Linked DNA regions of Drosophila melanogaster. Changing the gene in region 2 together with the main gene of any one other region gives a genetic interaction. Each region holds a gene or a part of one and is shown on either strand. Other genes may lie near its edges. The genes, in order: sei, cac and Galphaq.

What was found.
Region 1: of cac (region 2) and sei, changing one suppresses a phenotype caused by changing the other (phenotypic suppression), as found in Drosophila melanogaster (one study listed by BioGRID).
Region 3: of cac (region 2) and Galphaq, changing one enhances a phenotype caused by changing the other (phenotypic enhancement), as found in Drosophila melanogaster (one study listed by BioGRID).

The regions. Positions count from the first base shown.
Region 1 is NT_033778.4:24,041,960-24,052,115, reverse strand, and holds the start of sei (seizure), read right to left. Parts: upstream 4,706-10,156; 5' UTR 4,612-4,705; coding exon of another isoform or gene 4,257-4,611; 5' UTR 4,191-4,256; coding exon of another isoform or gene 4,120-4,190; 5' UTR 4,113-4,119; intron 4,051-4,112; coding exon of another isoform or gene 3,856-4,050; intron 3,782-3,855; coding exon of another isoform or gene 3,666-3,781; intron 3,478-3,665; coding exon of another isoform or gene 3,410-3,477; intron 3,348-3,409; coding exon of another isoform or gene 3,283-3,347; exon of another isoform or gene 3,213-3,282; intron 2,914-3,212; exon of another isoform or gene 2,833-2,913; intron 2,694-2,832; 5' UTR 2,686-2,693; coding exon 1,819-2,685; intron 1,754-1,818; coding exon 1,510-1,753; intron 1,458-1,509; coding exon 1,387-1,457; intron 1,325-1,386; coding exon 1,214-1,324; intron 1,154-1,213; coding exon 999-1,153; intron 943-998; coding exon 822-942; intron 760-821; coding exon 639-759; intron 576-638; coding exon 457-575; intron 400-456; coding exon 345-399; intron 280-344; coding exon 144-279; intron 87-143; coding exon 1-86. Other genes in the region: gammaSnap1 (gamma soluble NSF attachment protein 1), read left to right, coding at 3,283-3,347, 3,410-3,477, 3,666-3,781, 3,856-4,050, 4,120-4,190, 4,257-4,611, 4,795-4,833; tsr (twinstar), read left to right, coding at 5,448-5,450, 6,934-7,124, 7,197-7,302, 7,366-7,512; IntS1 (integrator 1), read right to left, coding at 7,778-10,156.
Region 2 is NC_004354.4:11,980,926-11,991,081, forward strand, and holds the start of cac (cacophony), read right to left. Parts: upstream 4,163-10,156; 5' UTR 3,970-4,162; coding exon 3,752-3,969; intron 2,991-3,751; exon of another isoform or gene 2,911-2,990; intron 252-2,910; exon of another isoform or gene 1-251. Other genes in the region: gd (gastrulation-defective), read right to left, coding at 4,858-5,371, 5,494-6,045, 6,125-6,281, 6,346-6,505, 6,549-6,761; tsg (twisted gastrulation), read right to left, coding at 7,238-7,987; CG18130 (uncharacterized protein), read right to left, coding at 9,314-9,727, 9,794-9,980, 10,052-10,156. UniProt on the Drosophila melanogaster protein: Voltage-sensitive calcium channels (VSCC) mediate the entry of calcium ions into excitable cells and are also involved in a variety of calcium-dependent processes, including muscle contraction, neurotransmitter release, gene expression, cell motility, cell division and cell death.
Region 3 is NT_033778.4:12,610,740-12,620,895, forward strand, and holds Galphaq (G protein alpha subunit q), read left to right. Parts: upstream 1-2,000; 5' UTR 2,001-2,107; coding exon of another isoform or gene 2,108-2,112; exon of another isoform or gene 2,113-2,140; coding exon of another isoform or gene 2,141-2,145; intron 2,146-2,827; coding exon of another isoform or gene 2,828-2,918; exon of another isoform or gene 2,919-3,606; intron 3,607-5,047; exon of another isoform or gene 5,048-5,090; intron 5,091-5,167; 5' UTR 5,168-5,557; coding exon 5,558-5,675; intron 5,676-5,800; coding exon 5,801-5,985; intron 5,986-6,047; coding exon 6,048-6,202; intron 6,203-6,332; coding exon 6,333-6,461; intron 6,462-6,716; coding exon 6,717-6,845; intron 6,846-7,055; coding exon 7,056-7,185; intron 7,186-7,247; coding exon 7,248-7,401; intron 7,402-7,464; coding exon of another isoform or gene 7,465-7,572; intron 7,573-7,703; coding exon 7,704-7,811; intron 7,812-8,041; coding exon 8,042-8,124; 3' UTR 8,125-8,244; downstream 8,245-10,156. Other genes in the region: Amph (amphiphysin), read left to right, coding at 270-350; CG45086 (uncharacterized protein), read left to right, coding at 2,108-2,112, 2,828-2,918.

The DNA.
Region 1 (10,156 bases), on a different chromosome or scaffold from region 2:
AGTACAATGAGGTGAGCACATCTCCTCGGTGTACTAGGATATCGCCAGGCGGGGCATGGGTGGTTTTAAACTTAAGGGAGAACGCTCTGCAAGTTCAAGTACTCGTTCATTTTCCATACTGGTTCGCTTGGACACAAACTCACCGTAGGCAACCAGGACTTGCCTCCGAGAAAGCGGCACATGTCGTCAATAGCTTTCTGTTCAAATGCAGGCAAATGTCGGCTTGCAGGCACTCGGGGAATCCCTTGAGCAGCGAGTTCATGTCGATGCCATTCGTATCTGAAAGGGCAGTGGATTATTAGAGGATTAGGCTAGGGAAGAGGAAGGAGGTCAGATGGTATTACAGGTCCAGGCGTGCTGAAAGTACTCCTCCAGTCTCTGCCTGAGCGGGTTCGGTATCTGCAGAATAGGAATAGGTGCTCAGTTCTATACTTATAGGATGTGCGTGCTCAATACCTGGTGAAAGCGAATGAACTCCCTAACGCGCAGCATTTGCGTGTGATATCTGGCGGTTCCCGAGTACAGCCTTTGAATAATGGCAGATACGTTTCCAAAAATACTTGCATACATAAGAGCTTGAGGGGGGAAATTAAAGGTCTCATTACACGTATTTAAAGAAATATATCGATGTTGCCTACATCCAACGAGCATCACGCAAATAGTGAATGCCTTTTCAGCATCAGTATTCGGTGCCACATTGCCAAATCCCACGGAAGTGAGCGAGGTGAACGTGAAATACAAAGCCGTGATATAGCGCGACTGCAAGAGGATCGGTTTAGAGTCATGCGGATTACGAGTAGATGGACGGAGGGAAACTCTACCTTTATAGAGGGACCACCAGTGCGGTTGTCGAAATAGGGTTCTTGAATATCGTAGGCCAACGAATTGAGCCAACCGATGTTCTTGGAAGCGATAGACTTTTCCGCATTTCCAATCGCATACCTTAAATAGAGTTAAGCAATTCCAAAAACAAATCGACTATTATCAGGCTAGTTTACCATATGCATGCCAACCAATGGGCAATCAAAATAAAGGTCGCCATCAACAAAATAAGAACTGCGGCTCCGTATTCCGAATAACGATCTATTTTTCGGGCCACGCGAACGAGTCTTAAGAGTCGAGCTGTTTTTAAAAGTCCTATTAAGGTAGTTGTCTGAAATGCGGAGTGCAGGCATTAATCAATTCCATGTAGGAGTGCATAGATGGCTCTCACCTCGTCGGTGTCACTGCCCACCAGGAGCAAATCGAACGGAACGGCGGCCACGAGATCGATTAGGAACCAGCCGCTCAAGTAGTGAACTGCTATCCGTCCGGGATGGGATACCTAGAATGAGTGTGGTTTGTTTAATTTCCAAATTTGAGTACTCCACCACGCTGGCCACTGACCACTTCGTCCTGCGAGTTGACAAAGGTCGTTCGAAAGTTTATTATAATGTCCACGATGAAGGTAACGTCCACTGAAAAGTTCCATTGATAGCTTAACCCACAAAATGCAGCATTAGTGCTCACCAATCAAATCGATGATGACAATTGGATCGGAGTTGATGTATTTGCTGTTCCGCCGCTGGTAATCCTGTTCCCCAAGCAAAAAGGCAGCCACGTACGGCGTGAAGATGGCCGTGTACATCACCAGGATCAATATTATCCAATCCCACACAGCCTTAAAGGGCGAGTAGTGCAGGAGGGTCCACTTGTGATAGTAGTTATTCTGCAACTTCTGGTCCAGCAGTATGTTTCCGCCCAGGGAAGTAATCTGATGATTTGAATTCAATAAATATAGTACTTTAATCGGCTGATTCAGATACCATGTCTGCATACCATGTCATTGGGATCCTGCCCCTTCGGCTCGCTTTTTGATCCGAGCAGAGCCTCCTTGTCCAGCATGTCGTCGTAGGAGTTCCCCATCACGTTGTCCGTCGGCTTTTCGGCCTGGTTGTATTTGAGGTTCTTGAACATGCACTCGTAAGAAGTGCCTTTGTGGGTCTGGAAGAGGTCGGCGTTATTTTTACGCAAGGGATCATACGAGCAGAGGAGATCGCATTCCCGCCGGGCGGACACCTGATAGTTCTTAATGTACAGCTTCTTCTTGTCGCACTTAATGCATTTCTTGAAACTTTTCTGCTTTTTGTGCTGACTTGGCTTGGATTCGAGTGGGATACCATTGGTTTCGACAGCATTTTCCCCCTTCATGGGCTTCACTTTTTTCAGGCACTCCCTTTTGTTGTTGATTTTGAATAGAAGAGGCGAAAAGAAGCAATCTGCCGTGATTTTCGTGCCTGGCCTCTCCTTCGATTTTCCACCAGCCTTCAGCTTTAGGGCTTCATCATCGTTAGTGGGTCGAGTCCTCAGGAATTTGTGGTACACCAGAGTGTTGTGGTCGGACACGTTTTTCGGAAACCGCGCCAAACTCTCCTTCTTGTCGTCGAACATGCTGGCGTTAATCAGGATATCTGAAACGAAAACCTGCTTCTTTTCAATCTTGTTCAGGTTGCACATGAGCGAGAAGAGTTCCCTCTCCACAAATTTGTTCGATTTTGCAGGGCAATTGCGCTTGAATTCCTTCACAGGCGGTTTCTTGGCCGCATTATCGTTAATATTGTTGTTGGACATGTACAGCTCGCATTGCTGCACTATTTTATCCAATTTTCGAATTTCGCTCAGTTCCACGCAAGATTTGTGGGACATTTTTAAGTCTGCAAAGTATAGAAACGAAAAAGTGTTGCAAATTATAATCAAACATTCGCAAAGCTCAGAATATCCGGATTCGTAAGCAAATTCAAATAAATCTTCGCTTAAAAACAACTTAATAATAAATCCAAAATTTCCACTTACTCCAGATTGAAATTGGCGAAAACTGCGATTTCTTACCTAATGCACTTTCTTATTTACTTGCAAATCAAAACAGAACAGGTATGACATGCACGCGGAGAAATCAGGAGTGGAAAATCATTTTCAATCAATTAAAAACACTTCAATTCGATCTTGTTCGTTACACATACTCTACTTTTTAAATATCATAGATAAAATAAAAAAATGAATAGATGTATGTAAATACATGGCATTTTCATTTCGAAGTCAACTGCTTTATAAGACCAACTTTTTTTTCCCGGTGTAATCAGGCTTTGCTTTTCTGAAATTTTCAGACATGCGTACTGCTTTCGGTTTTCAAAGATTCGAAACCACCGTGATTTTCGAACCATTGTTATTTTCCTTCTCGCATTCGGTCACACTATTTTCAAACGTAAACAATTGATTTTTCCTGCTAAACAAAAGTGGTTGAAAATGTCGGGAATCGCTGCCAAAAAGATTGCCGAAGCGGAGGACCTGGTGAAGCAGGCCGAGAAGAGGTATCCCCAACAAAAATATCCTTATAAAGGGGTTTCCAAATAACACCCATCTTTATTTGCAGCTTGAAGTTGTCCATGCTGAAATGGGTTCCTGATTACGATAGTGCTGCGGATGAGTATTCCAAAGCTGGTGAGTTTCACAAAGTAGGAGTGACTAATATCACCCAGAGTATCTATCTATAAAAACATTGTGACATCAATGAGATATGTAAATACTATGAATTACAGCTAACGATTATCCCAAAGTATCCATAACTTGCAAGATACACACATATTGGTGTACAATTATGTATCTTTCTTTTACATTTTTAATTGCAGCCACTGCATATCGAATAGCTAAAAGTTATGATAAGAGCAAGGAGTGTTTTCTGAAGGCAATCGACGCCTATAAAAACAACAAGTCTTGGTTCCATGCTGCAAAGGCATACGAACAGGTGAGCTTAAATTGAAGTTAATATAAGTGAAGTTAATAGGAAATTTAAACCCTCTAAATGTGCACATCTTCTAGATCATTTTGCTGTCAAAGGATGCCGATAAGCTACACGAAGTTGAGGAATACGCCAACAAATCGGCGAGTTTGTATCAACAGCACGGTTCCCCAGAGGCAGCCGCATCCGCCTTGGATAAAGCCGCCAAGTTAACTGAATCCAAGCATCCTGACATGGCTTTGCGCTTCTATCAGCATGCTCTAGAAGTCATAATGGTTCGTCCTATTTGACACTGCTCTAGTCAATTCCATTCTTAAACTATTAATTTTATACTTACCCGACAGATCGAGGATTCCGTCCGTCAAGCAGCCGAGTATGCATCAAAAGTTTCCAGGATACTGGTCAAACTAAGGAGGTATGTACCTATGATTGCAACGAATCACTTTGGGTATCCTTAGCTTATATCATCCAATCACTCCAGGTACGACGAAGCCACGAATGCGCTCAAAAAGGAGATCAGCTTGAATCAGCAAACGGAATCTTACGGACAAATTGGACGCCTAGTTGTGGCCTTGGTGATGGTCCAACTGGCTCGCGGGGATTCCGTGGAAGCCGAAAAGACCTTCAGGGAGTGGGGAAACTGCTGCGAGCCAGAGGAAGTGTCCACACTGCAGACCCTTCTGCAAGCCTTCGATGACGAGGATCCCGAGTTAGCTGCTAGGATGCTGGCATCCCCATTCATACGACATATGGATGTTGAGTACGCTATTCTATCTAAAAACATTCCACTACCTCAGGGTATACAGATGGAGAAGAAGGCTGGCGACACTGCTGCTGTGAGTATTTTTATTCTAAAAATGGAATTTGCAATTTTTGTTTTGTAAATTTGGCTCTTATTATGATGTTATCGATAGGCGATTGAATCTGCCTTTGTTGTCGATAGAAGACTTGGGACAGTGCGAAGCAGTAAACTAAATAGCTAACAAGAATTTCGTATTTTCTCTCTTTCTCTCTCGCAGGAAACCAACGACGCCGAGGACGAAGGTGGCTTGTGCTAAATTTCTTAATGTTCGGTCTGCTTGTTAGTCAAAATATATTTATCGTTAATAATATCGCTTTTAACATATTATATTAACTGTTAAATACAAATTTCATCGCAATCGTTGTACTAATTAATAAATACTAAGATCAATACTATACAACAAAGAATATCATTAGCTTTGGGATGAATTGATATTGAAGTAATAAATTGTAGCTATAAGTGTAAACTATGTATATATATTCTATGTTCCAAAACAGCGAATGTGTTAAGATTCAAATCTGTAAATCTTCAGCTTTATTACACGAAAGTATAGTGCAATTTGTTAATATAAATAAATAAATTAACTCAAACTATACTATGTATTTTAAAGCACCCTAAAATATTTGACATTTTGAAAGATCGAAAGTGTGCCATTTCACCGTTCCAAACGCTTCACAAACGTCGCGACGCGTCACGACGCATGTTGATACTTTGCCGGCGCCTGGCAACCCTAACCTGTGCGAAATAACCGACCAAATTGATTCGTCCGGTTGTTCGTGAAAGAAGGCGGAAGGTTAAACAGTATTTGTAAAATATATACTCGGCGAAGCAGCAATTTGAGAATTGTGAAAGCGAAAAACTACAGGAAAAATGGTACGTACACTTGGGACTCGCATTCAGACTCGGTGGTAAAAGCGGCCGGTCATTGTGCACTTTTGGAAGCGAGGTGGAGTGCAAATAATGTCTTCGATTCGATGAATCATATAAGCATCTCTCCTTTGAAATCTGTATATACATACATATTTAGATAAGTGTGTATATATCAATCATACATATATTTCCACTTTTTTTTGCCTATATGTTCGTTGGCCATATTCGGGCATATACATGGTCATGAATGTGTGCGTATACATATATACCAAATTAGTCATTGGTAGCAGCGGATATTACTCATTTATTGGAGTGTTTCATACTTCTCAGCCGCCACTCACACTCATAACTGGCAAATTCGCGAAAGGCAATCGCGAAAGAATGCTCCAAAGTGGCAGCTGGAAAAATGGAGCGATTAAAAATTGAAATGTTGGAAAGAGAAATGCACACACATTGGATTTTCATGTCTATACATATATATATTTTTACACACTTGAGCGTGTGTGGGTATACCGCTTTTTTTATATTTCGATGGCTATAAATATGTGCGTATGTATGTATCTGCGGGGCAATGCTTAATGCTTATTTTCTCGCAGACGCAAAATGTGTGTACATATGTACGTCCATATTACCATACAGAAATATGTATCAATATATATCCATATATGTATCTGCAGGCATACATATTTAAGGTGTGATCGTTTCCTTGCCGCCTTGCGGATGTTCATACATACATACACATGATGTTTAGCTGTGTGTGTGCAGCAGACGACTGTTTGCATGTGGGACGATTTTGATTTTCTCGACATTTTCCGAATATTATGGAAAATCGGGCATTTTCCACCGTTTTGTGAGCGCAACGAAATCGTGGGGAAACAGCCACCTCCCTTTTAGTTTTCTTTCTCCCTCTTGTCGGCTTGTTCTCACCCTTAAACTTGCCGGCACTTGTGAACTTACCCTTGAACTTTCCGAGCGCCGGGAAAAAAAGAAAGGAAAATCTAACTGTAAATGGTGCCACGCCCACCACTCCCAGATAAATCGGCGTGCCAAGTGTGCGCACGCCTTAACCGGTAAAAGTTCTGCGGTGGCAATGCAAATAAAGTAGCATAAATTATTTACCTTTATGTTTGTTATTGCCGGCAATCAAAGAAATAAAATTGCAAAGTCGAAAAGGGACGGATATACTGTCAGCTGAAGGTGGGCAGTTATGTCTGCCAGTCAGTTACATACGCACATATGTACATCAGTGAGGTACAGGGTGCCTCGTGTCTTATGTGGGCATAAAACATTGAACTTCACTTATTTTTTTTTACAATTCAACTACTTGGTACTTCATGAACATTTGTTTTAAGGGAATACTTGGGGAAACGCAAAGAGAGCACCCTGTATCACATACATGCACACACACTTGGTTGACAGTTTGGCGCGCATTGAACATTCAAAATACATTCTCTGATTTGCATCTCTACCTTCTCTCTCTCTAAAGGCTTCTGGTGTAACTGTGTCTGATGTCTGCAAGACTACATACGAGGAAATAAAGAAGGACAAAAAGCATCGCTATGTCATCTTTTACATTCGCGATGAAAAGCAGATTGATGTGGAGACTGTGGCAGATCGCAACGCCGAGTACGACCAGTTTCTAGAAGATATCCAGAAATGCGGACCTGGAGAGTGCCGGTAAGTTCCGCCGGTTAGAGACACCCAGACCCATCGAAACTAACCTAATTTAACATCTATTCGCTTGCACAGGTACGGACTGTTCGATTTCGAGTACATGCACCAGTGTCAAGGCACCTCTGAGAGTTCAAAGAAGCAAAAGCTGTTCCTTATGTCGTGGTGTCCCGATACTGCCAAGGTATGTGAATAGCCAGTTGCCAAGTAATGGCGCAGAACTCATTTCGATATCACACACCCACAGGTCAAGAAGAAGATGTTGTACTCCAGCTCCTTCGATGCTCTCAAGAAGTCGCTCGTGGGCGTCCAAAAGTATATACAAGCCACTGATCTTTCCGAAGCCTCCCGGGAAGCCGTCGAGGAGAAACTCCGGGCCACCGACCGCCAATAAACTGTACGAGCACTGTGCATTGCATTTAACAAACAAGGCATGCATGAAACAGCGATGGAAACACGTATCCTGTTGAGATCGCCAATTTGTATGAGAATTTTCTACATAATTTGTATTTTCAGTAGAAATAAAGAATGAAATATTTAACTTGACCAAGTCGCGTTTCCGCTGTGGTAAAAATCTCGTACCGCAGAATACACTTTATTATAAGGAGCAAAGATTACATTGTACATATGATGACGGTTCTAACTTATAGACCGAACGCTTAATAGCCATGCTGGATCACTAGAGTCTGGAGAACCTTTCTAATCTGGTGGCCAGTGTTCAGGCACGACTTCAAGCCCAGCGAGAAGGCCACCGTTAGGATGTCGATTGCGTGTTCCTGCAGCAGCACCGACATCTCCGGCAGATTGTCAATGGCCGTCGCTGCCACCGAGGAGTTCTCGTCCCGCAGGCACTGAATGTAGGCGTTAAGGGTGCACAGGTTGATGTCCGAATTGCCGGGATTGTGCTTCAGATGCCTGATCAGTATGATGAAGGCGATGGACCGGATCTGGGCACTCGGCGAGAATATAAGGTTGAGCAGTCGTTCGAACAGCTCGTTGATGAACACAAATCTCTTGGAAGTGAGGCACTCCAGCTCCTGCATGGGACCCAAGACCACGTCCTCCGTGTTGGACTGCTTTATGATCTTGACCAGATCGAGGAAGTGCGGCGATATGTCCGTGTAGTTCGACCGGCTGTACGAGCCCAAGGTTAGAACCGATAAGGGACCCCTACTGCTGCTTGGATCGATGGGTGTTTGCGGATTCACTTCGATGGGATCCTCTGTTACCACGGGCTTGCTGGCCGATGGCTTTACATCGAAATGCTCATCCAGATCGTACTCGTACTTAACTTCCTCGTCGTCCAATTCCGTCGCCGAGTGCGACTTGTGCTGCAGCAGGGCAACGGCCTGGACCAAAACCTGCAGTTTGCCTAGTGAGGTGTACTTGGCTGCAAGTTCCTTCAGGATGCCCACGTACTGTTCGATGAAGAGCAGAGCACTTGAGGGATTGTAGTTGATGTAGGCTTGGAGCATCTGCACAAACTTGTTCAGCATTTGGCAGGCCTCTTTTACGTTGCTGTGGTGCTTGAAGAAGTTGAAGTAGCACGACAGCGTGTTTTGGATCTCGTTCTTGTACGCCTCCTCAAAGATGGTTGGTTGCAGCAGCTCCAGCGTCCTCAGGATCTGTACAAATCGGTGGAAGTGGTGCTCCTCGCGCAGGGCCTTCATGCTGAGCTGGGCCCGACCTTGCATAATGGACGACAGCACGCCCAGCTGGCGAAGGAAGAGAAGCGGGTGGGAGGCAGCCAGCTTGCGAAGGAGCAGCTCGGTGTCCGTGGACAGGGTTTCAAAGTCCTTTTTGCCCACCAGACTGCCCAAGCAGGTGATCAGATTGTTGGACACCTTGTCCGCCTGGCAGCCCTTCAGATTCTGCAATTTGTACGCCTGCTCGCCGGTTTTGCCCGGTTTCAGAAACTTGATGCGCGGATACATGATGTACATCTGCTGGAGGACCTGCAGTTTCAAGTAGTCGGACACCGAACTTTTCTCCACGTGCTCCATTACCTTGACCATGAGGTCTCGTCGCTTCTCTGTGAGCTTAAACAGTAGGTTCATTCGCGAGCAGAGCTTGAAATCATAGTTTTTGCTGTCCAGCTTGACCTCGGAAAGCCCTTCGTGAAGGATGAAGTGGGAGAACGGCTCCAGTTCAGAAGTCCTCAGCATGAAGAAGGCATCCGGCCGTACGTTCTTCGACATGTACTTGTCGCGTCCCTTCCACAGCTTCGGATTGGTGGTCAGTGCCTCGAAGTAGTTGAGGACGGTGGCGTAGTCGTAGTCTTCATGGAAATTCTTGAACAGGTACTCGGCAATCCTTTCGATCGTGTCCCAGTTGGTTTGGTGGTTGATCAGGGACAACAGATAGAACCTAAACTCGCTGCAGGACTTTGAGAACAGAAAGCGCTCCTTCATTAGCTGAGTGGAAACTATCTCGGGATCCATTTCGGACAGCCAGTCGATGAAGAGCCCGTTGTGGAAGAGCTGGTCGCTCTTGGACTTGGCGACGGTCTTGCTGTCCTTGGTCTGATCGAAGCTTTGGACGATCGCCCGGACGATCCGTTTTCGTGCCACCAAGGCGGTATTCGCCTTAAACTGCTGCGCATAAATCTCGCGAGAGTTTCTCAGCATGAACACCAAGCTCTCATGATAGAGTTCGGATTTCTGCAGCAGACTGGAGTCGGCGAATGTGTGCTTAAACATACTTAAGTTCTTTTGGAGAGCGTTCTCCAGTATGTGATACTTGTCGCTGTGCAGCATGCAGCTGAAGAAAGTCCTTAAAAATGTGCAGGCGTGACGGCTCATCGTGACACTGCAACCCACGGCTAGCACCTCTGTTATGGCGTTAACCACATCCGCTCTATTGCTGTTCGGGCTTGCTAGCATGTCCAACAGTTTTTGAATCAAGGATCGGCAGTCACTTCGCGACTCAGTCAACTGGTCGGGCTGCGTGAGAATGGTTTGGGCTACCTCCTTGGTGGCCAGGAAGTTAGTGGGTCTATCATCCGAGTCTGAAGAATCGTAATCATCAATTTCAACGGC
Region 2 (10,156 bases):
TGATTACTGGAGGATGTGGCGGTTGTTTAGGATGGAGGCTGGAGGCTAAAGGATTCCGGCTGCGATTCCTTAACTGCCTTAACTCGCGTCCTCGTCCTGAATCCCTTGATCGTTGATTTCGGCTCGGCTGTTTTTTGTACACTTTATTATTATTATTCCTTTGCTGTATTTATCGCTTTTTGAATCGTTGTCTTTTATTATTATTTATTAGCTATTCCACGCTTTACCACCGTGTTATTATTGCACTTGAACTGAATTTGGAAATACGAAATTCGATTAGATGCAAATCACACACACACACACACACTCGATTCGATTCGATTTTGATTACGATTTGAAGTGAAACTGGTCAGATTCCGGAATCTCTGTTTCATTCGCTTGGCTTTGCGTTAGCTTTGAGTGTTTCGATGTTGTGCTACTTATTTTGCCAACCGATAATTATGATGCGCTCGGGTCAATTCAGTTCATGACCTATTGAAAACATGCTCATACACTCGCGCACGAACATATACATACATATGGATTGGATGGGAATGGGCATGGGCATGGGTATGGGAATGTGGTTACTCAGGTGCATGCCAAGTGCATGGCTGGTGTTATTTTTGTATCCAATATGTGGTGTATCTGTAGAGAAGCTGATCCACAACATTTCGGACTGGCAATGGCTATGGACACGGTCTGCAGATAGATGTGGTTATTTCGGTTATTGGTATAAAATTCCATTACTGGAACACGCCATGAATGAAAAACGTTAGGGGATGAAAAAGTCAGAGGCTGAGAGACTGGCACACATACAAATGCATGTGTATGGAACACCAAAAAAAAAAAAAGCTCAATACACTCGCACACACACATACACGGGCTGTGGTGAGTTGTGAAACGGTGAGATTCTGAATTCCGACTGGAAGAATTCTGAAAACTTGTTTACCTTTTACGGAGTATTCTTGAATTGACAAACTAGCCCATAAGGCAGTGAAACTACGAACAAGGTTTTATCTTTACAGTTATTTGCAGATCAATCAAATGTTTTGATTTACGGGGCTGATAACAAGAATTGGCATTTGCAAATTTCAACTCTCTCCATTCCATCCACACACACACACATATACACACGTACCGGCAGAAGCTCTCTCCCCCTCTCTCTCTCACTCTTTCTCTTTGGTTTCAACAATCACTGGGTCACACCGATAACGATAACATCGCAACCACAAATCGCTTGCCTACTTTTAAGGGCCCAGTAAATCTGGTTGCATTTGCATTTAAATTAACTATTGCCCTATTTTGAATAGTTCATTTTCAATTGCGCAAAGCAATGTCTTTTCTTTAAAAGCAATTCTTGTTATTTATTGCAATTGTATAGTTCCAGCTCTATTTTCCCTAGTGACGTCACCAGGCACAGTTGTCTGAAATTTTTTTTTTTTTTATGTTGACGATGTCTTTCGGAACGATTTTGGGTTTTTGGAATGGGCAGAAGCTATATATATCTGTGTGTCTAACTACAATCGGGCCACAGTGAGACCAACGAACCTGTAATTGCCAAAAATAAACAGCAACAATGACACACTTGCCATCGTTGCCCCCTCTAAACTAACGCTTTTTGTTATTTCTTTTTTTCTGGAAACTGTTACACTTTTAATTGGGCTTAAAGAACCAACTAACTGAAATTTGATATGTCGTTATAAGTTTAGTTACAGAGCACACGACTACCACAATATTTGTTCATATGCTCGCATTCAATTCCCCATACGAGTATTCATATGAGCATTGTTAAAAGAACAGAGACAAACAAATTTTTCACTTCCGTGAAGAGAGGAGAACCATCATTAGAATTCGTTTCCGGTATGGAAAACATATACATGTGTAGATTTGTATGTGTGTGTGTGGGTTGGGGAATTTACGACTAGTAAATATTTGTGTGGACTGAGAATATAGTTAATTTAAATATTAATTTGGGGGGTGCTTCCTGCTACATCGCCGCAATTCATTCACCTCGAAAGTGCGTGTACACGTCACAAAAATAAACGATATACCGATAGGCTAAAAAACACCCGAAAACTCCATATCTCCTTTTCCTTCTCCTTCAGCTTTAGCTTTGGCTTTAGCTTTTCCTTTCGCCTTTGCTTTTCCACTTGCCTCTTGCCACATCCACTTCCACTTCCATCCACCGCAATATATAGCACCACCGACGCAACATTCCGCCCGTTGTGCTACCGACCCGCTGACCCAATCCCAACAACTATGTATATATATATGGCTATACATATATATGTATATGTATATGTATATGTATATGGATATGTATATTCGTGCGGGTGTGTTGGTGTGTGTGTGGTGCGTTCGTGGGGCTTGTTAACTTTAACTTTTACAACTGGTTTTTAAGGATAGCTTCGGTAATTGGGATTTGAAACGAACGCATATATATATGTATATGAATGTGGCTAAAAATAAAAATTAGATCTGGTTGCCTGGAGGAGCACAATCAGAGGTCGTTTATTGGCTTCAGTAAGCCCGAATAATGCTTTTCACTTGGTTTCCCGATATCTTTTCTTGCTATTTTTGCTGTCCTCGCCGCCATTGTCGCCAATTCGACGTTTTGCCATTGGGTTTTTCACGATTTTTCACGATTTTCACGCTTTTCCGACTATATTTCTTGTTCTTGGTTTGGATGTTTGTAGTGTTATTTTCACCACTCGACCCGAATTCGGATGCCAGCGCACACAACATTCGAAATGTGGAATTTTCACAGCACTTTTAACCCCGCATTGCGAGTGATTTTCACTTGATTTCTTTAACGCCAGGCTTCTGTATTCAGCCACATTTTAGTTGTCGCACATTTGCTGTTAAATTGACTGGGTCCCGAGTTAAAAATAAAAAACAAAAACCGCTTCTACGGGAGCTGTCACCACCGACTTTGTCTCACCAGTTGGACGAAAAACTCAACAAAACGCAAGACTTCAACTCGGCGACTTTGTATCACATACTACCACATCGCCAGGGTCCAAACACACGCACAAAGGGCAAAAATATGGGGAAAAAAATCTACCAGCCCTGCGCTCTGCATCCGCCCGAAAGCTCTGGTCCAAGCTTCAGTTCAAGCTCAATCGGACAATCGGAGGTGGACACACTGGCCAGCCAGTGCGGAGGAGAGCGCATGCGTGTCCTCCAAGGAAACCCGCTCCTAGGACCGTTACAGTCGTCGATTGAGCTTTAAGCTCCGCTTGCTCTTCACCCCTTGGGAACAAAACTATCGAACTTTCGAGAAATCGCGGTTTTAAAATCCGGGCTTAAATCATACTGCTAAAGTTTAAAAAAAAAGCGAAGCGACGAAGTTTAAGCTACTTACCCATTCTAAGAGTTTTTTTTTTAATTGATTTAAGTAATTGATTTACTACTGCCACAATTGTTGATAAAGCTTTAAGCTTTAAGAATACTTTCAACCCCTTGTAGTAAAAACTTTTGCATCAAGATATCGGTTATTTGAAAACCCGGCTTTAACCGAATTACAAATGATCAAAGGCGCTCTCATACTTGACCTAATTAATTAATATATAAAACAAACAACATATTTTACTCTATTTCAGACTTAATTTTATCTCTGTACATTTCAATAACCCTCGTCAATTACCTTTGCATACTATCTTTAATAATAATGAATTTTTACCAATTTTCAATACTTTTCTAAATATCAATTGATCTTTTAAAATAATGTTAAGTTTAAATAATTTATATTTAAATTGGTAGTGGTACTCACATTAGGTCGCCTAGATTCGGTCGCGTCTGGACAAGAGCAAAACTTTCCGGAGCCCGGCGCCTTTTGTTAGACCCTTGCGAGCCGTAGTGCGTGCTCCGCCGGATGACGCCATCGCCGATGATGGCAATATTGTCATCCAGACCGTTGATGTTGCTAATGGTCAATCGCGCCATAGGAGATGAGCCCCTTCGGCGACGAGCTCCCACTCCGCCCAGCATTCTGGGAATCGATGAATCGAACTTTGCAATACGCGAAATGTACTCCAAATATTGCCATTTCTGTAATATATTCACTACCAACTATCGGGCACGTTCACAATACAATGCGTTGCACTTGTTTGGGGATCTTCAACGATTGCGAATGTCCGTAGACGACGGGCCCAGAGCCCCAGGTGTGATGCACCAGCTGCCACGGTCCGGACGGAACTGATAGTCGATGGCTACGACTGCTGTCGATGCCCCAACAACCCAGCAAGATAGATAACGGCCCAGATGGCGATGACGACGATTGCGGCTGATGACGTGCGATGACGTGCTTGATAGTAGTCAGCATTTGCGCAGTACAGTGTCTGCCGCTGGTAATTAGGGTGTCCAGGTGTCCATGGGTGAACGCCGCTCAGACGGGCCAGGCCGCCCACTCCGGCATATTAGCAGCTTCCTTTGTTCACGAGCGCCAACAACACACTGATAACAAAGGCATGGTAAACGTTACTGTATTACAATTAATTTCGATATCAAACATACCTGTGATTCTTTCAACATACACGTTTTCTATATGTGGTCAGAGGAATTTAAACATTGCAAATTTCGAGATTTTTAATGTTAATATTATGGTGGAGATCTAAAAGCGCAGCGATTCTATGGGAAAATTCCTTTTTGGCTTTCCCGTGCCATAATTTATTATTTGAATTGCCCTACTGTCTTAGATAAAAATAAAACTGAAATGCCATAATCAGAAGTTTTCGTAATGAAACTAGCAAAAAAAAAAAAAGAAAAAACCGATAACCGCTAATTACTCCGAGTAACTTTTGCCCATCGCCATGCCCAAGGGGCTATTATCACAGCGCTCACTTAGAAATGCGTTCCCATACACATTTCGGATGTGATTCAAATTACAAAGGCCGTGATCCAGTCCAGAAACTTGGCCACGTCGGCATATATAATGTACTGATTCTTACAGCAAAGCTTATGGCTAGATTCCGCATCCGGTGTCTCTACGGCGGGCAGGGCCGCTGATACTGTGCCACGCAGCATCCAGCGATTGTTCCGGCGGATGAAAAGTCCGGCCCCCGATATACCGGTGTAAATGCTCGCCCCGCTCTGATGCGTATCTCGTTCCTCCGCCTGGATGCCGGCGCAAAACGTTCGGTTTGAGGATAGGCTGCGAAAGTGGGCATTGGCTCGAAAGCATTCGGCATTGCCGACAATGGGAGCCTTTACTACCTTGGGTGCACTGGCATCGGTGGACTTCTTGCCCGGTAGCTCCGACGACAGCTTCTGATCCCGCGTCCTGTTCGTTCTGTCAAAGCTCCAGCCGATGACGATGCCCCGCTCGCCCACAATGTACTCCGTTTTGCTGGAACCAGACCACAGGCAAGCGGGTCGAATAAAGGTGTTAAATCTGCGTTGAAAATAATGGTATACTGTCAATATAATAAATGATCTTCATATTCGATTTCACATCGCGGTTTAGATATGAATCTAAATCTTGAATATGTAAGCTTTAGGCATATTGGCACCCACCGAACTTCGTCCTTGAGTATAATCACTGCGATATCCGCATCGTAGCTGCTCAGCTGACTGTTAAAGTCGGGATGAATGTAAATGCCATCGACGGGGGCCGCCAGAGATCCCTCCTCGTTCCAGTTCTTCAGATTGTGGCGGCCCAGAAAGACGAGCACCTCGTTGGATGTGTAGCGCTTGTTGAACAACTTGAAGCAGTGCGCCGAGCTGATTACAACGCGTGCCGAGACAAGCGAACCGCCGCACTGAAAGTCCAGGGAGGTCAGGTTGTTCACATAGATGGCCGCTAGCCAAGGCCACGATCCCCTGGTGATCGATGGCAGGCTATCGGCGCTATCGCTTTCTATCGCTTCTGCTTCTGATTCGTCCACAAACTGATGCTCCAGGACATCGTCTTCATCGTCATCGACAAAAACTGGCGATGTGATGCCATCGGAGCTCTTTGGTTCACCGATTGCGACATGAAGTGATTCCGTTCTTTGGGACAAGTGAAAGTCCAGATCCCTGTCGATGCGTCCGCAAATCTCCTTGGGCGCCTGGGCAAAGGGTTTTCTACAAAAGCGGACATTAAGTAACGAATGAATGTCACGATCGTGTGTGTGTTTTAACCGACCAAAATCCGGATGCATACTTCTTGAACTGGATGTGCGGCGTACTGGGCGGCTTGTCGTCGGTTTTTCTCACCTCCTCCTCCTCGGGATCTAGCAGCAGGGAGCTCTTCTTATCCGGTATAAAGGACAACTTCCTAATGTGCTCCAACTGGATTTGGGTCATGAAGATGCTGTGCTCTGTGGTGCGGGCAAACAAGTCATGGATTAAATCGTTTGCTACCCAAGTTCCGTGGATACGCACCGCCGGATCCGAAGCAGATCACATGATTGTTGGCTGACATGAGGAGCAGTTTGGGCGGGAAGTGATGTTTGGGAAAGCGGATCTTATACAGCACCGGTGCATTGTGGGTAAACTTGCCGCGTGTGAGTAGCTCGATTTCGCCCAGATAGTTCTGTGTGTACTAAGGGGATTAGGTAACATCTGGATGACAATATACCACTTACCGTGGTGGGCTTGCCACGCATCGAGAGCGTAACTCGTATGTGGAGCGGCTGGTGGCCATCCGGACTGCGCACGGCCATCAGGCCGAACCATTCGCTGCCGTCGAAGCGGTACTGAAACACCTTGGGGCACGGACTGATCGGCATTCCCTGGGCGACTGCCTTGGTTACGTGCTCGATGCAGAGGATCAGGATCGCCGCCAGGTGCAGCCTCATCGCTAGTGTCTGGGAATGCCCGGGATGAAAATGCTTTTCACTCAAAACAAACGTAAACAATGCCGCAATTTCGATCGAAGCTTTAACAGTCCGGGAACACTGTGTGCATTTTATCCACCAACAGAGTTGCCAGACCAAGAAAGTAACCCCTGTTAATTAAAATGAGAGAGGGGAAATTGATCCTTTAAATTCTCAATTCCGTGCAAGTTCAAATTTCAAAAAACTTTACAAATTAATTATATCCCACAAATATGGATTCTACGAAACATTTACTGGATCCACTGTTAGAACTAAAAGGAATATTTTTATAATTTCCAAGTTTATTGTTGTCTTTTTTTTATAAAAACTTAAATTAGCAAATGCCTTGCTATTTTTACATGGGTATTTTACATGGGTATTTACAAAGAGATCGTTTGCTATGATGAGGTCCAAGCTCCAATTTGAAGAACCACATTTATTTGAAATTATCTGTGCTATTAGGAAAATTCATCCTCCTCGCCATAGCCCCACTCGTCCTCGATCTCCTCGTTGCCAAAGAATCGCTCCAGATCCTGTTCAGCCTCCGCCGGAACGGTATCGGCGGTAAGCAGTTGGTCCTGATCCTCCGGACAACCGCGGCAGCGACTCTCGTTGATTCCATAATTGAGGCAATTCTCGCCGACGCACTCGCAGCATCCGTCGTGGAACCATCGATAGCTACTGGCTCCCATGCTCTCGCACTGCTGCCGGCACTTGTTTGCCCGAATGCACGAGTTCACATAGATCACGGTGCATAGGGTGACACCTGCAGACCCGGCATTTCCATTTCCATTTCCGTTTCCGGCATCACCACTCGCGCCGCCCTGAACGCGCTGCTTGAAGCCGGCTCGCATGGAGAACCTTATGGTGGACCATCCCTCGTCATCCTCGGCGGTTAGGGTGTCGAACAGCTCGGGCACTCCTTCAATGTCTCCAATCTCCGAGCGCGGCGTCAGCGAGGGCAGGACATCCTTGTGCTTGGGACACATGTCGAGGCAGCCACAGCACTCGATGTACAGTTCGCCAAGGCAATTTAGACAGTCCTTGCAGCAGTGGCAGTCATTTAACTTGCACTGGCAGCTCTGGGTGATGAGGCACTTGGATACCACCGATCCGCAGACCACTTCGTTGCATCCATCATCGTTGGCCAAGGATGACCACGGTGCGATTCCAACGAAAAGGATGACGAAGTAGCACAGTAACTGCATTCTCGACGAGATCTCGCGGCCTTATGATACATTATCCACGATTGCGGCATGCCTTTATATGTTTTTTTAATATTAGTATCCAGATGGTCAGGTAGATGGCTCATCCTTACCACAATCCGCTAATCCTCGTGTCGCGAAAATCAGGTAGTGACCCTCAGCAGGCAGGCTGGTCATTTAAAACCATTTAGAGGTAACTTCTCCTATAAAATGTGCCAAAATAAGGGATGATCATCTCAAAATAGCCTTACTTTTAAGGCAGCTTCTAGGATTAAACACGCAAACATTACCTGTATTATTGACTAATACGAACCGTTATAAAATAAGCCAATTAGGTAACATAAATAAAGTCCATTGGTTGGCTAAAACAAAATGCAGATTCTTAATCCTAAATCTTAACCGCAAACAGGTATTATTGGCTCTAAGGACTTAACAGGTATAATTACAATTTGTTAAGTGTTTTGGCCAAAAATCGATATATTATGTTAAGGGAAGTCAGAAAAACGACATTTGGCAAAAATGCCATAATTTATAACTTGGCCAAAAATCATCACATGGCTAAAAGAAAAACAGTTTCGCTCAGATAATTACCAATGCTAAAGATCCATATCATTTTTAAGCGGATACTAAGAAATTAATTTTAAGATCAATTTTTGCATTTTCGTAAGGTATCAAAATGCGAAAAAAATTAAAAAAAAAAAATTTTCCTCAAATTATAACCCAAATCGATTGGAATTTAAATAACAAGCTCGTTGAGGTATAACATTCAATTTATAGACCATTATTTCGAATTTTCTGACCAAAATACGGATTTTTTTATTTACAACAAAAATCGGGTGAACGATTTTTGGTATAACTTGGTCAAAAATGGTCACAAAACAAAAATAATTACCGATTTATGCTCCTAATTACCAATACTAACCAACCCTATCACTTTTTGACGAATTTTGTAAAATTATTTTTTGGCCAATTTTTTGCATTTTTTGTAAGGGGTAACATCATAAAAATTGTCAAAAAACTGAAAAAATTAATATTTCTAAATTTGGACGCCATTCGATTGGGAATTTAATTACGAGCTGAACGAGGTATGACACTCCATATTTGCAACATTATTTCCAATGTTTTGACCAAAATATTGAATTTTATTTACATATTTTTAGATAGCTTTGTACATTTCAAAGGCAACGATTTTCGTTACGCAACAAATTGAATGCTATTTCAGTTTTTTATTAAATTTAAAATTTTAACATTTCAACAACTGGGAATTTTCGCGTATACACTAAAAAATTTAGTTGCCAAATAATGAGTAATAATGAGTGCTATACTGGTTTACTCGGCTGCTGGCTCAGGTGCAGGCTCGGCAGGAGCAGGAGCAGGAGCTTCTGCCTCCGGTTCCGGTGGCGCTTCGGCGGCAGGTGCCTCCTCCTTGGGCGCCTCATGTGGCGCCTCCTCCGCTGCTGGGGCTTCCGGAGCTGGAGCTGGAGCTGGAGCTGGAGCCGGTGCCTCTGGCGCCGCTCCTTCGGCGGCTGGCTCAGCTGGTGGTGGCGCCACCGGTGCGGCATCTCCGGCTGGCGGTGCTTCGGCAGCCGCTGGTGCGGCATCTCCTTCCACGGCAGCGGGAGCCTCTGCGGCGTGAGCTTCTGCTTCGACTGGAGCAGGAGCCTCCGAAGGATGAGCCGCCGCTGCAGCTGCAGCTGCAGCCGCTGCCTCCATTTCCTGATTGATTTCGGTGGCCCGCTTGCTCTGAAGAATATGAAATATGATTAAAATATTTGATATTATTAATGTAAAACCATTTAGGCCTTCTACCTTCTTCTTTTTCTTTTCGACCTCGACGACGACCTCCTCCTGGGGCTTGTAGTCCTCCGGGAAGAACTTGAGCGCCTCGTCCTTGCCGACAGTTACATTGGGACTCACATAGCTGGGACCGTACGAGACCAGGGATAACATCATGTTGGACTGGACCTTGTTGACCTTCAGCACGATCTTGTCGCCACTGCAGTTGGGCAAGAAAAAGGTTGGAAATTGGAGTAAACTACTTGGGCTAATCCCGGCCAGAATACGTACGATGAGTGCGGACTGCTCTCGTACTTGTCCGTTGAGGTGGCAATCAATTCGGCCTCATCCGGTTCGGCGCTTGAGAAGAATCCATAGAGCGGCACATCGTCCTTG
Region 3 (10,156 bases), on a different chromosome or scaffold from region 2:
GGTTGGCTTACCCTTTGCAGATGATGTAATTATATAACTTCAAGCTACTTTCAATGTTAATGGGATTGTCTGTCCTCATTTCCATAAAATTCCATCAATTTAAGTAAGCTAAACTTGTTAGATTCTATCATTTGCAAGGGTATAACTTCGGAATCCGGAGATACACATTCCTTTGAGCTTTGCACGCGCTAGTTTCCCCCTCCGCGCCAAATGCAGATCTCAGCACTTCCTGTCTATATTGAGTTCAGTTCTTTATTGCCAATTTACAGGAGGAAGGCTGGCTGATGGGTCAGAAGGAGGGCACCAACGAGAAGGGACTCTTCCCCGCCAACTTCACGCGTCCCATCTGAAGCGACAAACTGGGGAACAACTGGGCTAGCAACGAACCATCAGCAACTTCAGATCAACCATAAAAATCTTTACGAACGGAGGTCCAAATCCAAATACAAACTTTTGGCCAAATTTTCTTTGTGAGCGCTGCTTTTGCTTTTGTCCAATTAATAAATTCTTGTTTTGTGAAATGTATTCGGTAACTGGCAATCCATTTATAGCGATTGTTCGTTAGGGCAGTGCTTCCAACCATAAAATTGTTATTGTTAACACAAAGAAGAACGAACACACAGATGAGGAATGAGAGAGAGAATATTTTGAAAATGTTTCAAACATTATTTTTTAGTTCTAAGTTTCAAGAAAACCTAAAGCATAAACCTACGTATACATATATTATTTGTTAATCCTATTATTGTGCTCATAATTAATGCGAACAAAACGTATCTAATTTGTAATTTGTTAATGGCAAACCACAAATGTAAAACATATCACTCGAGAGCTAGAGTAATTGTTAAACAAATCAAAAGTCGGAGGAGATAGCCAGCCTGAACCTTTTGTATTTTGTGAATTTTGCAAATATGTAGTACGAGTTTTTTATAGTCAATTGAATGTATTTTTGGGGCGATGCAAAAAGGCCAGATGTAATTCCTCTGTGGTCCCCGAAGTTTTGGAAATTGTTTCAAGTAACAACATTAACGTTTAGCGATTACGTGTATCTTTAATTTGTACTTTGGTTTTTAATTTTTCGTTTGAGAGACTCGAACTAGCTACAGCTTTATAACGCGAACACAATCCAATAGTCACTAACCGATCGATTCGATGTTTTTATTTTATTTAACTCGATTGTAAATCACACGAAACCCGAAATAATTGTTTAAATTGTGCACACACTGTAAAGTTATTATTTTAATTTTATTTAATTAATTTAAACACTTATTTATCGCATGAACATATTGAACAAATGATAATAATTTACAGAAAGCCAATAAAACATAGATTAAATAATACAAGTCTTTTGATTTGGCGGGCAATGTCTTCTGATTTCGAAGATAGAAAGTGCTTGTAAATTTGACGATTGACCGGCGTTTTACGATATTCGCATTTTTTATGTTCTAAATGGTAATTATACACACATATATTTAGTTATTTAAAATTTACGATCATAGTCATTGGTTCGGGTCACAGCTTAACGAATATGGAAGTGCATGGTAAGTGTATTCCCTGTTGTTAGAGAGTGAAAAGGACACAACATTTTCAGTCTTTCCTAAAGCTATCAGGCATTGCCATCCTGAATTATGAGAATATGGCGCACTGCCATCCTTATTTTTAAGGATGTCTGGCGTTGCCATCCTTATTTGAAGGATGTAAGGCGTTGCCAACCTTATTGCTAAGAATGTGTATTGACACACATGAATAGAAATCCGTATGGCAACACCGACATGTGTTGTGGTGGGGGTGGCAACTAAAAAATACCAAAAGTAATATATTTTCAAATTAAGCTGAACTGCCAGGAAATCCGTTTTTATTTGTTATAAACCACTTCTATTAGTTATTATGCGGCAAATAAAACTCCTTCCTTATGTAATACAATGAAGACTTTGATTTAAGAGCATCTATTCCATCATCGATATCTTGCCACCACTAGTTCAAATGCCGTCCGATTGGTTTGACCATCGATATCGACGAACGATAGGGCCGATAGGTTCGGACAAATAACGCCTCCTGCTATCGAAAGTCGGGTCGTGCGTCAACGTTAGCGAAAAATGCAAAATTAAATATGTTGTGAGTAGCGAGCGATGCCAAATCGAATATGTTGTGAGTTTCGAGCAAGATCCCCGTCAAACGGACTCCCCGCCAGCCAGCGGTCGCCATCCGCAGCCGCCTGGCAGCCACCCGAAAAAGTCCCCCCCTCGACAAAAAAAAAATTTAGCAGCACCGAAAACGTTCCCCGAAATGCCAGTGTAAAGTGTATTTTTTCGCCAAACAGTGCTGGCCATTAAGCAAGGCCCCCCCATAATTGTTAAACAAACGGCGAATCGAATCGCGAAATCTTCGAATCGCATTGCTATCAAAATTTTTTCGTTTCGTTAACGCCCTCGCTTATATTTGTGTGTATTCGTTCGTAAAGCAGTGCGCAGCAAGTCGCACTGCTTGCCCGAGAAAAACACTGCGAATAGGAAAAAAGTTGAGAAATTTAAAAAAGAAATAGTTTGTTTAACTCAATGTGGTTTTCTTTTGCCACTAAACGGTGCATGCCAGCGAGAAGTTAGTTGGGGTCGCGTAACTACATAGTGGATTGTGCATATTTTTGGGCTTAAAACGGGTGGGCTAACCAAAAAATGAAAAAAAAAATGGTAGCTGAGGGTCGTGTGTGTTTACCTTAGCCAGTATGATGATGATTTTCCGGAATGCATATTCCCACCTTACCACCCATAATACCACCCCCCCCCCCCATCGTTCTTCTCCTTATCTCTCTGTCTCTCTTCTTTACTTGCAGTTCCACTGCATACAGAAAAATAAACAAATACAAGAAGCATAAAATATGCAGAAAATTAAATACAAAAGGAGCCACTAAGTGTTTCGTGTGAAATCAATTTGAAGACCGCTCGTCGTCGTCGTTGTCGTCGTACATACTTTTCCGTTTCAATTACACTACAATGAATATTTGTTGAAACTTCGTTGCATTTACAGACTGGTGTTTAAAAACAACAACAACAAGAAGAAACGTTAAAAACCAAGAACAACAACAACAACAGCACTCATACACACCGAAAACTAGAAGCAAAAAGGGAAAATTATATATAGATATATATCTACATATATAAATAGTATCGTATCACACATTTACATTAAAAGGAAGCCGAACAGACGTTATCGTAACTTTTATATTAAAAAGCACCAGTAAAAAATATATAACCAACTACACACGTTCCTTAAAAACAAATGTTTTCCAAACCGCAAACCAACTAAAAACGAAATGCTTTTGAAATTAGTTTAAGCTAACTAAAAAACGTAAGACCAACCAACGCACCGCAAAGCAAATCGCGTGATTAAACTAAAAATATTTAAAACAGACCGAACATCGGCAGGGAACCAAAAACAAAAATTAAAAGAACACGATCAATCCGGAAGAACTTCAATCGGCGTACTAAAACCCGAAATTCAATATTTTTTGTATAACATAGTGGTAGCTAAAACAAATCGAGACGATAACCGGAACATCTTTTTGGAGAATCTCGTCTGAATACCTTTAGTCCCGTGTCTCCGTAATGTTAAGTAAGTAATACTGAATGCTCATTGAATACAAGAATCGTAATTTCGTGGTTAATTTTTGACTCCGACCACTTGTTGGTTGCCACTAAAAACTGGCCGAAATATATTATAATCCAAAAATCGAATTATTCTCCAGGCGAGTTTAATGGATTGTCATCCATCTTATTCAAATCCATTCGAATATATTTATTTTGTGTAAAAGCCATGCTTTCATCATAATGAAAGGGTACTTTTGTATCTAAAATATGAGCTCATAAATTCTCCAGCAAAAATAGGCTGAGGATGCGATAAGGAACTGCATGAGTAACGTGAAGCTATTTCCGGCTTAGAAATGGTTTTTCGGAAATGGGTTGCATTAGAACAGTGATTTTCAGAAGAGCAGTAGTCGTCTAAAGATTAAGAAGTCAAATCAAACGTTATCTCAGAGTGGTTTATCATCAGCATATACAATATGTAAGGCAGATAAGACCAGTTCGCGGTAGGTAAATCTCCCTCTGATTTGGTGGCATGATATATCTGGCAAACTATTGTTAAAAAACGCTTCATTGCGCCAATTGCGTGCCCCTGCCCCTGAATTTTGCTGCCACTGCTAATTCGATTTTGTGGCTTTGCTCAGCGAGCAATGTGTTCCGAGTGCAGCCCACTAATCCTCCCGAATACTATGCGTCTAGCCATCATTATCCAGATCTCCATATTCGCCCACCTGAGCCCGCCAAATTCTCCTGGTCAGACTTTTGTCAAAATTATTGCTAGGTATTCCATCGATATTTGGTAGTGGTCATGCTGAAAGCCTTACCTCGACCCATGTCAATGTGTTCGCCAAACGAAATTGGATTAGCCATCACTCGATATATAAACTAGGGGTTGGAAAAGAGAGGAAATAGCACCAGTGGTTATAGGCTATATTCTATAGGCATGCCCTATGCTGAACCCATGAATGAACCGCGGATTCGGGTGGACTCATATCTTTTAACGATAAAAGTACATTAAGAGTTTTAAAGTTTATGCAATGATATTCCAGTTTTGTGTATAGAGCTGTGTTTTTGCATCATAAGTTTCGGTATGTGACTTTTTTATTTCCGAATTAGAATGATATGCCAATTCTTCTTATCCATAGACTGCTTGGTCCACCCAATAGGAGAACACTCTCGCTAACTTGTGGCCAGCGAAGCCATATATTTTCCAAAATCAGCTTTCTTGCATTGAACTTGGCTGAGGGGCATTGTGGGGAACGCTTCCTCAATCTATTGCCACCTGGTAGAGGGCGATCCCAGGTCTGCGCAGAGAGAGCAGGCCCAGAACTTAGAACCAAAGCCAATGCCATGGTCAGAGGAAGTCCCGGGGTAGTCATGGGTAGCCATGGGCAATCTATATCCGACGTCGTCATCGACGTCGCCAGCTAGTGGGGCAGGCTAGCAAATATGAAATGTTAATTGTCAGCACGGGACACAACGCGGCGAACTCTCGTTGGGCCAACAACTGTGGTGGTCCGTAGCAGCAATAGTTGGATAGATCCTACAGTTCGGTTATGCAAGCACTAAATCAAAGCTTTGTCTCCTTGCAGATGTTCTTGGATCGTTCGATGTGGTCTTTGTTCATTAGTAACCATCACTCTCAGCCTCCGAGTCACCGAAATCTGGTCAAGAACTTAGCGTAGACCCGTAATTAGCAATAGCAATAGCCAAAGAGAGCCTGGATCGTAAGCGCTGGAGGAGGTCTGCAGAGCGAGCAAAGCCGAAGTACAAATGCACCAATCGAAACTACAACAGAATCTATAACTTGGAACGGGTGAATTCAACGCCCGCCATACAACCAATTAGCTAGGTGTCCGAGGGTCCAGAGAAGGGAGTCCAGGAGACCATCCCACCATCCAAACAGCATACATTTTATATACGGAACGGTCTGTCGAGCGTAGTGGCAGCAGCACGCGAAAGCGTCTATAAATCTAGTTAGCATGGAGTGCTGTTTATCGGAGGAGGCCAAGGAACAAAAGCGCATCAATCAGGAAATCGAGAAGCAGTTGCGCCGGGACAAGAGAGATGCGCGCCGCGAGCTTAAACTGCTACTACTGGGTAAGTGGAGCATGGCCCATTTCGATTGCACTTAGCCTGGCTTAATGCAATTGAAGCCGCCTCGCTAATTGCATTGTTTGCCCGCCGCTTATGGCTATATATATTTTCCAATCCTATATCCCCAGGCACTGGCGAGTCCGGGAAGTCCACATTCATCAAACAGATGCGTATTATCCACGGCAGCGGTTACTCGGACGAGGACAAGCGTGGGTACATCAAGCTGGTTTTTCAGAACATATTCATGGCCATGCAGTCAATGATCAAGGCCATGGATATGCTGAAGATTTCCTACGGCCAGGGAGAGCATAGTGTAAGTGAAACATTGATCTAATTGAAGTCACTGAATCTTAAACAACATCTTACGATCCACAGGAACTGGCCGATCTGGTGATGAGCATCGATTATGAGACCGTTACCACGTTCGAGGATCCATACTTGAATGCCATCAAAACGCTTTGGGACGATGCTGGCATCCAGGAGTGCTATGATCGTCGTAGGGAATATCAGCTGACTGATTCAGCCAAATAGTAAGTTAACCGTTGGCATGCAAAGGGAACGGTTTAAATCCGTCCGCAAAATGACCGAAAAACGAACTGAAGAGACTGAAACTACCGAAACGACTATGCAAACTAAATCAATTATCTTGTCTATGTATAGTTATCTGAAGGATCTCGATCGTGTGGCTCAACCTGCATATTTACCCACTGAGCAAGACATTTTAAGAGTTCGTGTGCCCACAACAGGGATAATTGAGTATCCCTTTGATTTAGAAGAAATCAGATTTAGGTACATACCATCTTTCTACCCTTACTTCGTTGCATGTGCATGACCTCTTGTTTGGTTATGGTTAAAATTTATTTTGTACTTTGTAACTACACACTTAAGAATTTCTTTAGCGCATGTCTCTTCAAGCAAACAATTCAGGGACTTAGTTAGGGCCTTCAGCGAAATTGATGGACTGAGACGGGTTGCAAAACTATTTTTGCCACTGCTTTTGGTTCCGTTCATTGTTTTAAAAGTGTATTAATTTATCTAATTTAGCTACTTGAGCGATCTAGCTCGAATTGAACAGGCTGATTACTTGCCAACCGAGCAGGATATTCTGCGTGCTCGAGTGCCGACAACTGGCATTCTTGAGTATCCATTCGATTTGGATGGCATTGTGTTTAGGTATCTATTAAAAATATCAATTGGTAATTACCGGCAAGGCTAGTAATGTAAATGGTCATTGTAAAGCTAGTGAAGACGATTTCTTACAATTTAGTTACTAATAGATTCGTTGCTTGCGCTCTAGAATTAAATGCTTGTATGTTTGGCCTTATATGTAGTTAATTTGTTGGTTAACTTTTCTTACAATAATATATTTTTCTTAATAAACAGAATGGTAGACGTCGGTGGTCAGCGATCCGAGAGAAGAAAGTGGATTCATTGCTTTGAGAATGTGACATCAATTATATTTTTGGTAGCGCTATCGGAGTACGATCAAATCTTGTTTGAATCTGATAATGAGGTATGATTTCAAGTTATGAATATATTTTTTTTAAACAAATAATCACCTGTACGCTTTCACAGAATCGAATGGAGGAATCTAAAGCTTTATTTCGTACTATAATTACATACCCTTGGTTTCAAAATTCGTCAGTTATTCTTTTCCTGAATAAGAAGGACTTGTTGGAAGAGAAAATAATGTATTCGCATTTGGTAGACTATTTTCCTGAATACGATGGTAAGTGTTCCGCATGATAAAGGTGGCCATAATTATGTACGATTTTATGCGGCAATGAACCAGGTCCAAAACAGGATCACGCTGCGGCCAAACAGTTCGTTCTGAAAAAGTACTTGGCCTGCAATCCAGATCCCGAACGTCAATGCTATTCGCATTTCACAACGGCCACAGGTGGATTTTCACCTTATGTACTTAAGATCTATGTAATTGCCTTAAATCGCCAATATCATCCGTAGATTATTTGCTAGTTTTCGTAGAACCACGCTAGACGTAACTTCATATTCGCCTTCTTATCGAAACAGGTCCTCAGCGAGATGCAATAACGGCCCGAGAGTTTATACTGCGAATGTTTGTAGATTTAAATCCAGATTCCGAAAAAATTATCTATTCTCATTTCACGTGTGCTACAGGTAAGTTTGCTGCCAGTTCTGTGTTTGGTCAGAAATTGTGTGTGGATGTGATTTTAGTTTTCAGCCTAAAAAGGACTGGTCAAAAGGTAAACTTTTGTGTGAAAAACATTTACATTTGCATATTTGCTTTTGCCGCTGATCTAGAGTAGAGAGTAGTTGTGTATCGCTAGTCAAATTTGCAAACCTAAACGAATTGATTTCTAATAAAACAACGATCTCTTGGTAAACAGATACCGAAAACATCAAACTTGTGTTCTGCGCTGTCAAAGATACAATTATGCAAAATGCACTTAAGGAATTCAATTTGGGCTAAGGCGGGCAGTGCGGATATCAGGAAAAGTGGCAATGCAAATGAATTATTTATTTATAATGTATATGATTTGTTTTTCAAAGTCCCTCAATAAAAACTAAATATAGTCTGTGAAATATCGTGAATGGAAAATGTGTGCAGTTTACTATCATAGGATTATTTGACAAAATCAAACTAACTACGCCTTCTTTTCTTTTGTCTAGATACGGAAAATATAAGGTTTGTGTTTGCAGCTGTTAAGGACACAATTCTGCAATCGAACCTTAAGGAATATAATTTGGTCTAAACTGGATTTGGATCGAAAAACTATTTTTGTGATTTTTATACAAACACACATACACATTCATATAATTCCTTTTTCGCATATTTACTAAATATAAAAGAAGAATTGAGAAGCGAGCGAATGTGGCCGAAAATTAGGCATAAATTAGACCCGAGAAAGTTTCTTACGTTTGTTACATCAGGAACCGAAAATTGTAGCATAAATAGAATACTAAACTGAGATGCTAAAACCGCATCAGCAGAATGATGAAAAAGATGTATACATTTTAATTTGAGAGAAAAATAACACAAAATCTGATACAGTGTGACAACAAATAATCAGGGCAGAGTTTCTCTTACGAATGTGACGATTCGTAAAACATTTATTTATATTGCAGTACTTCTATTCTTTCTAGCGGCAAAGTTTTCAGAAAACGTTGTGTGAATTTTTTTTTTTTGTTTCGACTAGGAAAACTCTTGAAAGTCAAAAAGACAGTGGCCAGAAATGATTGGTACCCAATCGATAGAGTTTTTGGTTAGATTTGAATAAATCTGATGGTAGTTTTTCCTTCCTACACAAGAAACATGATTTCCTTGAAAAGTTTTTATACAAAATATCGTCCGAATTAGTTGTTGTCACTCTGTAATATTTAAATAAATTTATTACTATAGTAACTTTTGTAATAAAATCCGAAACACAAAATATGAAACGTAAATTTAATCAAAAGCTTGATAAGGAACAACAAACTGAAACAACTTTGTCGTACTGAAGCATAACATAATAAAGCAACATTTTACTAAATAACTACAGAAAAACAAAAACATACTTTTGCGTAAAAATCCCCCGAAATATATATATATTCAAAGAATTATATATGCAAGAAGTTTCTTATTAGAATTTCAGGGCATATAGGCGTGTAAAAATAATAAACCGAAAATGATAAGCTGATAAAATGATAAAATGAATGAAAACGAAATCACAGATAATACTGTATTTTTTATTAAGCTAAACAGTAAACCGTAAATATTGATACTATTGTTTACCGAAATATTTAACTATACATGAAAGCAGATATAATAATTCATAAACGCATATGTAACAATTTAAAAATTGATTAATTTGCATTGCGCGAGCTCCATTCATTGTAAATTACGATTCGTATTAATACCATGAGAATGAAAAGAAAAGAAATGAAACGCATGCAAACCAATACAAAAACGATATAGGAGCTAGATTTGTATGAGAAAAGCCAGAAACATTTACATGGAGCATTCATTAAATACGTGTTTGTAAAAAATGTCGATAACCACCCATGCAACATGCAACATGCAACAGCAGAATCCATACAACTTATTGATATTTAATCAGACATCAGGTTAAATCCAATCAAATGCGATATACCACTGGTCGAGAAACACAACTATCAGAAGGGAAAGTTTTGCTCTCACGTACTTTTGTTGCCATCAAAATTTCAGTCGAAACATTGTTATCAAAAATAGCTTGATTTTCGTACTTTTTACATTAACTTTGTTAGTTGTTTGCTTATTTTATAGATCTTAATGTATGCAACAAGGGACTCGCTTTGGCGGCTAGCCAAAACGGCGATGTCTGGCCAAGTGGGTTCAGTGTTTTGTTTTTGTTTTTATAATTTTAGTTTAATTTAATATACAAGGATAACTAAATGAGACGCACATAAATAGAAAACCCCATCAACAAATTATTTATGTAAAAATCCAAATAAAAACAATTCTACTCTACGCATATGTGGAAACA